2 linked regions of the Canis lupus familiaris genome follow. The main gene of each other region encodes a partner of the protein of the gene in region 2 in a complex. Links are inferred from orthologs where the notes say so. Each region holds a gene or a part of one and is shown on either strand. Other genes may lie near its edges. The genes, in order: EIF3F and EIF3G.

What was found.
Region 1: EIF3G (region 2) and EIF3F share a complex: the UniProt entries of both Homo sapiens proteins name them as parts of the eukaryotic translation initiation factor 3 (eIF-3) complex. The link is inferred for Canis lupus familiaris from reciprocal best matches to the Homo sapiens genes EIF3G and EIF3F.

What each region holds. Positions count from the first base shown.
Region 1 is NC_049242.1:32,120,509-32,124,986, reverse strand, and holds the start of EIF3F (eukaryotic translation initiation factor 3 subunit F), read right to left. Parts: upstream 2,970-4,478; 5' UTR 2,946-2,969; coding exon 2,546-2,945; intron 1-2,545. UniProt on the Homo sapiens protein: Component of the eukaryotic translation initiation factor 3 (eIF-3) complex, which is required for several steps in the initiation of protein synthesis.
Region 2 is NC_049241.1:51,337,373-51,341,915, reverse strand, and holds the start of EIF3G (eukaryotic translation initiation factor 3 subunit G), read right to left. Parts: upstream 2,877-4,543; 5' UTR 2,782-2,876; coding exon 2,762-2,781; intron 2,648-2,761; coding exon 2,601-2,647; intron 2,151-2,600; coding exon 2,067-2,150; intron 1,963-2,066; coding exon 1,874-1,962; intron 1,745-1,873; coding exon 1,685-1,744; intron 371-1,684; coding exon 266-370; intron 180-265; coding exon 1-179. UniProt on the Homo sapiens protein: RNA-binding component of the eukaryotic translation initiation factor 3 (eIF-3) complex, which is required for several steps in the initiation of protein synthesis.

The sequences.
Region 1 (4,478 bases), on a different chromosome or scaffold from region 2:
GTCTACATAGGCCACCCAAACAGAAGCCTAGCCTCAGAGTACAATCTTAGGGAGCTTCACCTTTACCTCCCTTCAGTCATCTAGTCCAATGGTCATGTCCTTAACCCCATCATCATCCAGAAACCTTCTACCTGTGAACTGTAAACATCAGTATCAGTCTTTTACCACAAATTTCTGTTCTAGTTCTGATACCTTTACTCCCACTTAGTTTGTTTCTTGACCTAAGACTGCTAGTCCCTTGAGTTCTCCATGTTTTTCTAATCTACTGGCACCACCCATACCAGGCTTCAAGCACTTCCCCCTCCTCCACAGACCACAATGCTGCCACCCATGTGTCTGTTTAATTCCACTTCACTATGGTTTCTGCTCCCTTTGCTAAAACTATGTCTTCAAACCCAGCGGATAAATATGCTTATTTGACCTCTAAACAGGAATTCAATAAACTTGACCATTTCACACTTCTGAAGCAGTTTTAAGTCTTCTGCATTTCCATGCCACAATATCCTTCAGTTAAAGCATTTATCACATTGTATTCTAATTATTTGCATATATCTTCATCTTGAATTTAAGGTTAGAACAGAAGTTATTTTATCAAACTTTGAATTCAAAATATGTAACAGTTTTATGGTATTTAAACAGTACCAGTCATTTCATTTAACCAAATTAAATGTTTCATGAATTAACATCTGAGAATATTCAGAAGCTCCTCGTGAGCAGTCTGTGTTTAATTCTTCAGTGAAGTACTGTCTCTATAACACTGAGCATTATACCATTATCCCAGTCTGGAAGAGGATCTGAAGAGCTAGACTAGTTGGTCTAACTAGAGTCACTAGAGTATCTGGGGGCTCTGAGCATTCTCCCTGGGTTTCTTTAAATAGCTCCAGTGGATTTGGAAAATTTGGCAGTGCAGCTCAAAGAGTAAATAGATTAGTATTCGTCAAGTGCCAACCTTTGTTGCAAAAATCATTTATTTCAGAAGCTCAAAGCAGGACACATTTACAGAATGCTACTATACTTTGGAGGTTAAGAATGGAGGTGAGGGTGGTAATGTGAGACAAAGAACTGACACTTAACACTTTTCCTGGGAACCCAGGAAATGAGTGAAACTTAAATGAGAGAGAGCAGGGAAGACATTTATGTCAAACAGAATACAAAGGCTTGGTTTGAGAAAAACCTTGATGTTTGGAAGATAATGGATCAACTGAAGGTTCTGTGAAATGCTAAATCTTCAAAGAGAGGGCAAATGTGTGTGTGTTGCAAGGCAGGGATTGGGGGTGTGGGGGTAGCCCTGATGTGGTGGAAGACTGCAGTCAACCGCGGTTTTGTACCTAATGGTCTGCCAGCAGTGAGATGCTTTTGGTGATAGTTTAGTTTCTGCAAAGACTAAGTCTAAGTGCCCCGAAAGAACTAGACTTCAGGTAATTTGTCTCAAGGCACATGTTTTTTTTTTTTTTTTTTTTTTTTTTTTTTTTAAGATTTTATTTATCTATTCATGAAAGACACACACAGAGAGAAAGAGAGAGGCAGAGACACAGGCAGAGAGAGAAGCAGGCTCCATACAGGGAGCCCGATGTGGGACTTGATCCTGGGACTCCAGGATCATGCCCTGGGCCAAAGGCAGGCACCCAGCCACTGAGCCACCCAGGAATCCCAAGGCACATGGTTAATATTTGGTGCAATCTACCGTCAAATCTTGTCCCCTTTGCAATTCAGTTGTCTTCTATGCTAGAAAGACTATTACATACATATTCAAGAATAAGAGAAATGACAAACGAGGCTAGAGTCCATTTACAAAGGGATCTAAAATTGGTGACAAGGATGGAAGGAAAAGGACTTTGATGGGATCAGCAGTTCCCAAGAGAAAAGGGCATTATTATCAGTAATCCCTATTTAGCTTCTCAGCTTTACAAATTAACATATCAGGGAGATTAAAAAACATAAGATCAGGATTAAATGTTTAGAAAAGCAGAATATCATTAAAAACCTAAATAGGTTTCTGCCAAACTTGTTGAAAGGGATGTCTTTTTACAGAAGTCCCTACTTCTTTACCAACTGGTTTAAAACGTCCTCGTAAACACCTGGAAAATAAGGACATTTAGACCGTGGAAGGGGGTGGAAGGCGGCGGGGGGGGTGGGGGGCAGCGTTTAGTCGAACGTTTAGTCAAACGTTTCTGACTTCCTCGTCGGCATCTGAACTCATTTTTGGCAGTCTGGGACTAATCACACTTGACCTCAAATGCTAGCGGGGAGATTAAAAATAAAACATAAAACCAGGGGCAGCCCGGGTGGCCCAGCGGTTTGGCACCGCCTTCAGCCCAGGGCGTGATCCTGGGGACCCGGGATCGATCATTCGGCACACGATACTTATTCAGTAACGCACTACGGCTTACGTATTCTGTGTCGACCAAAGTGACAGCAACCTGGCAGGAAAGTGCGAGTTCCTTCAAGGAGGGAAGTCGCGGCAGAAAGACGGGATGCAGAAATAGGTCAAGAGGTCAATGGGATAAACGGGAGGCGAGAGGGTCAATGCGGTTTGACCACTCACCCAGCAGGGTCCCGATAACTCGGGCAGCGCCCTCGTTGCGTCGCTCGTAGCTGTCCACGATGGAAGCCAAAATGACCGGGTGCAGCCGGACCACGCGGCCCCCGGGGAAGGGGCCTGGGAGAGCAGGACCCGGCAGTGACTGCGCCGGAGTCTGCGCTGGGGCTGGCGTAGACGCCGGGGTCTGGCCCGGAGCCGCAGTCGTGGCCGCCGCAGTCCCCGGGTCTGAGGCAGAGGCTGGAGCCGGCGTTGGAGCTGGGACCGGCGCTGGAGCCGGAGCCGGCGCTGGCGCTGAAGCTGGGGTTGCGGCCGGGGCTGAGACCGAGGTTGGGGCCGCGGCCGGGGCGGAGGCTGGGGCTGGGGTGGCGGCAGGAGCACTCGCCGGGGCTGCCGGTGTGGCCATCTTGTCGAGAGAGAAGGAGCCGGGAGCGGAAGGGAGGGAGTTGAAAAGTAGTAGAACACGATAGGCTGAAGATGCACCACGTGAACGAGATCTTTATGCCGATTGGCTACCGGTAATGCTTCTCACGGCACAGTTTCCGGCTCTGAGTTTGTGCTCTTTGATTTCAGACCGATGAGCACTCAAGTGAGGACGGAGCTGAATAGTTCCGGACAAACTTGAGACGGCGATGAGAGAAGAAACCGCTCCGACTGCTCAGCGGCCGCCAGGTGGACCCAGAGTTTCCAGACTTCAAAGGGGTAGTGGACGATAAAGTGCGTTTTAAAGGCACTTCTTCACCGCGTCAGAAGGTGTGGGTGCGGCGGCTTCTTCAGTCACCAGTGTGAATAGGTGCCAGGCGCTGTGTTAGGCCCTCGGAATGTAGATCAGAGGACAGAACAAGGATCGTTGTCCTCAAAAATGCCCAATATCTAGCGGAGAGAGACAAAAGGGTATATAGTATGTTACAGGGTGATGGATGCTATGAAAAAGGAAAAACGAGCGGGGAATAAGGGAGAATCAGAAGGTAGGGTGGGTAACAATGAGAGCGTGAGATCTGAGTGGATTGAAGGAGGCAAGGGAGGGGGCTGTTTTTTTAAAAAAATATTTAATTTATTTGAGAGTGAGCATGAGTGGGGTGAGGGGCAGAGGGAGAAGCAGACTCCCTGCTGAGCAAGGAGCCCCGTGCGAGGGCTGAGATCGTGACCTGAGTCGAAGGCAGATGCTCAACCGCTGAGCCACCCAGGTGCCCGTGGAGCAGGTGTTTTTTTTTTTTTTTTTTTTTGAAAAGGTCCTAAGTTCAATTTTGGAGGTGTCACCCTCATTAGACATCCCAGCAGAATTGTTGAGTGGTCAGGTGGAGATGCTAGTCTGTGCTTTGGGAGAGGGTTTCAAGGAGTAACCCTCTGTAAAGCTCTTAGCATGTGCCTGATACATAGAAGTTATTATTATTATTAAATATTTTATATATTGATTCATGAGAGACACAGAGAGGCAGAGACATAGGCAGAGGGAGAAGGAGGCTCCCTGCAGGGAGTCCTATGTGGGACTCAGTCCCAGGACCCTGGGATCACCACCTGAGCCGAAGGCAGATGCTCAACCCCTGAGCCACACAGGTGCCCCTACAGCCGTTACTATTATTAAGCGGAAGCTATTACCACCGCTATGCAATGGAAAAGAGCTCTGATTCTAACATTGTGTGTAACTTTGGGCAATCTATAATTTTTTCGGAGTCTCAGTTTCCTTCTTGGTACAGTGGGAGTGGTCATATCTACCTGCCAGGAAACCAATCAACTCCTTTTAATTAGATCAAGTCCTGGCATCCAATTGGCAAGTCCAAACTGGGTGAGGTTGGACTTCCTAGCCCTGACCCTTATGTCCAAGAACTGCCTTCTCTTTGGAGCTACCTTCCATAATTAGAATTCACATGATCCAGCTCCCCTGTCAATGTTCTGGGCAGATATACCTTCTTTTAGTCCGCACTTCTACCCCCGCAAC
Region 2 (4,543 bases):
TTCTCCTTCTCGCCGGTGGACAGGCCCAGCTGCTCAGCCAGCTCCTTCTGCATGGGCCCCAGCGTGTCCTTGTAGGGGCAGCGGGTAGTCCAGTGGTCGCCCTTGCAGATGCGGCAGGACACGATTTTCTGGCCCTTGAGCTTGTTCATCGGGTCCTCCTCTTCCTGGCAGTTCAGATCCTGGGGGGGGGTGGCAGTCAGAGCAGGGTTGCCACACCCTGGCCACCACCATCACAGCCACCGGCCCAGACCCTTGCCCAACTCACCTCTTTGCTAGTGATGAATGTCATGGACACGTCGTCACTGACTGTGGTGGTGGCCACGTTGGGCCCTGGTGGGTCAAACTCCGAGTTCCCAAACTTCTTCCAGTTCTGGGCTCGGGGCGGGATGGGGGACTTGTAAGGGCAAGTGGGACCCCCACCACCACTCGACCTACAAAAGCCCTCCCTTCAGGGTGTTTCAGCCTTGAACCACATTCTTCTCCCTCCCCCAAGTCTCCCAAAAGTGGTGACAACGACAGTTCCCATTTCCTAGCGTGTACCACTCCTGGCATGTGCTAGCCGCTAGCTTCAGGCCAGCTCCAGGAGGTGGGGACGGCTCTCAGCCCAAGTTCCAGAGGAGAGAACCAAGGCCCAGGGGGAAACAGTCACACAGTTAACCATTCCTGAGGCACCCATGACAGGAGGTGGGCCAGCTCCCATAAGGAAGTGACGCCCAGGGGTCACCCAGACTGTGAGGGGCCTTGAGATAGTTAAAAAACCTAGGCTTAAAAAAAAAAAAAAAAAAAAAAAACCTAGGCTTGGGCAGCCCGGGTGGCTCAGCGGTTTAGCACCGCCTTCAGCCCAGGGCGTGATCCTGGAGACCTGGGATGGAGTCCCACATTGGGCTTCCTGCACGGAGCCTGCTTCTCCCTCTGCCTATATCTCTGCCTCAGTCTCTCTCTGTGTCTTTCATGAATAAATAAAATCTTTAAAAAAAAAAAAAACCTAGGCTTCAGCTTTCTTCCCCACCTTTTTAAGATTTTTATCTATTTATTCATGAGAGAGTGAGACAGAGAGAGAGAGACGCAGAGACACAGGCAGAGGGAGAAGCAGGCTCCGTGCAGGGAGCCCGACGTGGAACTCGATCCCAGGACTCCAGGATCACACCCTGGGTGGAAGGCAGGCGATAAATCGCTGAGCCACCCAGGGATCCCAGCTTCCTCCCCTTTAAAATGGAGACCTCAAATGTTCCCCACCTCCCAGGACGGCTAGGGGTAGCAAATGAGAAAACACTTCCTGCAAAACACTTGCCATTGAGGTCTGGCACAGAGGAAGTCCACCGAAAATTGTGCCAATGCTATTTACAGCTATCACTTCTTCCTAAGCATGTAGCCCAGTTAAACAGGAGCTGCTATGACCGCCTGAGGGGAGGGCTTGGCTCTGTTCCTTCTGGTAAACAAGTAAACAAGCTGAGCGGAGTTAATCTAAACCACCCAACTTCTGCACCCTGGACTTTTCAGGGTCCCAACAGAGCACAAACACCCCTCAACCTTAAACCCCCTTGATCCAACAGAATAGAGACAGAGTTGAACCCCACTTCTAAAAATAAAGGTATCAGATCAAAACGCTGTCAACAAAAAGGATTCCTAATTCCTCCAAGCCAGCCCTGGGAGAGCCTCTAAGACAAGAGGAGAAGCGTCTCACCTTCCTCCTTGCAACAGCCTTGGAGGCCTTCCGCGTCTCAATTCTGAAGGTGCGGACGATCTGTGGAGGGGAGGGGAGAGGCTCCGAATTCCTGTGTTTCAAGGCTCTGGAGCTAATCAACCCAACCTACCCAACACACACACCATCCCCTCCGGGCCAAGGGGCCCCCAACTCCTCCCCCAGCCTCACCTTGAACTTCTTGCCATCCTCATCTATCTTGTACTCTGTCACTGTCTTGATGTTCCCATTGATGACCTCCTTGGGAGGCGGCAGTGGAGCTGGGAGAGAGAAGAGGGGAAGTAACTGAGCCTTGGGTGATGGAGGGGGAGGGGAATGCTGCTGGGGAGAGGGAGCCCCGAGTGGAGCTGAGGGCGTCACTCACCTCCCGGCACTAACTCAGGTTCTGGGCTGGTGTCGCCAGTGGCCAGAGGGATCCCCTTGAGGAGCTCGCTGGTGACACATTTGTCTAGGAAGGGGAGTGTGGGTAGGAGGGGTGAGCTGGAGGGGCGAGGGCTCCCAAGCTAAAATGAAGGGACTTCTGGGATGACGCCCACACCAGGGGCCTAGACGGCAGGGCCAAGGGCTTAGGCCTGGGGACCAAGTGCCCTGGGCTAGCCGTGCCAGGCCGTGGCGCTGGCTGAGTAATCTCGCGCAATGGCAAGGATGAAAGCGAGGGGCAGCCCATAAAGACATCCGGCGCTCGCACCCAAGCAGGAGGCTGGCTGTTACAGCTTCCTCCCCGGAGCAGCTGTGAGGCTTGGGCGGTGGCAAGGGAGCGGGGGGACCGGCCAGCCGGACACTTGGAAGTGGCGACAGGCTGGCGGGAGGCGGGAGGCGCGGGGGGAGATGCGGCACCGGACGGCGGTGCCCGGCTCGGCGCAGGCGCCCGTGACCCGGGGCGACCCGGCGTACTCACCGTCCTCGCCCTCCTCCTCCACCTGGTCGGCCCAGCTGGGCTTCGAACTGCAAGGGCAAGGTGGCGGAGGGGAAGGCTGGGTCAGCGAGGCCAGGCCCCGAGGAGCGCCCCCACGGCCCCCAAGCCGCCTCCCAGGCTTCGCTCCGCGACCCTCGACTCACTCAAAATCTCCGGTCGGCATTTCAAAACCTCCTCCACGCAGCACAAGTCCCGGGCCAGAGACCGGAAGTGGGGGGAGGACGAGACTTCCTGCGCCGCGGCCCAGAGCAGCCCGGCAGCAGCGCCCACAGCGCCCCCTGCGGCCGGAGGCGGAGGCGCCGGCCGTGGCACCTCCCTTCGTTCATTCCATTCATTTCACCTTTTATATGTTGGCAAGTTGAACACCGATAAAAAATAAATTTATTTTTAAAAAATCACCAACAGGGATCCCTGGGTGGCGCAGCGGTTTGGCGCCTGCCTTTGACCCGGGGCGTGATCCCGGAGACCCGGGATCGAACCCCACATCGGGTTCCCGGTCGGTGCATGGAGCCTGCTTCTCCCTCGGCCTGTGTCTCGGCCTCTCTCTCTCTCTCTCTGTGACTATCATAAAAAAAAAAAAAAAAAAAAAAAAAAAAAAAATCACCAACAGGGATCCCTGGGTGGCGCAGCGGTTTGGCGCCTGCCTTTGGCCCGGGGCGTGATCCCGGAGACCCGGGATCGAGTCCCACGTCGGGCTCCTGGTGCATGGAGCCTGCTTCTCCCTCTGCCTGTGTGTGTGTGTGTGTGTGTGTGTGTGTGTGTGTGTGTGTGTGTGTGTGACTATCATAAATAAATAAAAAATTTTAAAAAAATCACCAACAAAGGAGAAAAATCAGTTTGAGCTAAGATTTTGCCACACCAGCATTCCATGCCAGTTGGCAATGGAGCAACGTGCACAAAACTGCGAGCGGACTATGACTCAGAAGTATCAAGACCAAGATATCAGTTGAATATAAAGGTGACTTGTGCACATTTTCAAATATGAGAGAATGTATGGAAGGACCCTATTAAAAGAATAAGGACAGTGCTTAATGATGAAGTCTAATTAACTCATAGATGAATAATAATACATAAACCAGAAATAGAAAAATGTGAGTATAGTGAATAGTGCTGAACAATGAATCCATTTATAACTAGAATGAACGCTAAACAATTAGGAGGTCATGAGCACAGAACAGAATGTAAATGTTATGAAAATGGGCAAAGTGAAAAATAATACAAATATCAAAAATAAGATTTGGGAAGGGGACTAGCTAGTCCAGATTCAAGAATTAAGAGGACCTTCTCGGGATCCCTGGGTGGCTCAGCGGTTTGGCGCCTGCCTTCGGCCCAGGGCGTGATCCTGGGGCCCCGGGATGAGTCCCGCATCAGGCTCCCTGCATGGAGCCTGCTTCTCCCTCTGCCTGTGTCTCTGTGTCTCTCATGAATAAATAAAATCTTAAAAAAAAAAAAAAAGATGACCTTCTCCTATTCTAATTTTATGCCAGAGAGCAGAAGTAATTCCTCTCTGGAGCCCAAAACCTTAAATGATCTCTACATGTTTTATATACAAAGTAGCAGTCCATGAACAATAGGACTAAATGAATGGAACCCCAGTTAAAAAGAAAAAAGAAAAAGAAAGAAAAGGAACAGACACATAAATGATCCAGTTTTTAGAAAAAAAAATTTAAAGGTACTAATAACACTAAAGCTCACTTCTCGAGAGCTTATTGTAGGCCAGGCACTGTGAGGGGGAAATTATAATTTTCTGAAGAAATTGTATGGTGGCAGGTGGTGAAGAATCCAGGCTGGACTTCCCGGTCTGGGAAGAGTTTTCCTGATTCAAATGATCAAGATGTCAGAGGGCCCCTCTGCCCCTCTTCCTCCTTTCTTTTGCAACATTCTTGGCTCTCTGATATAATCCTTCCCACTCACTTGTTTATTGT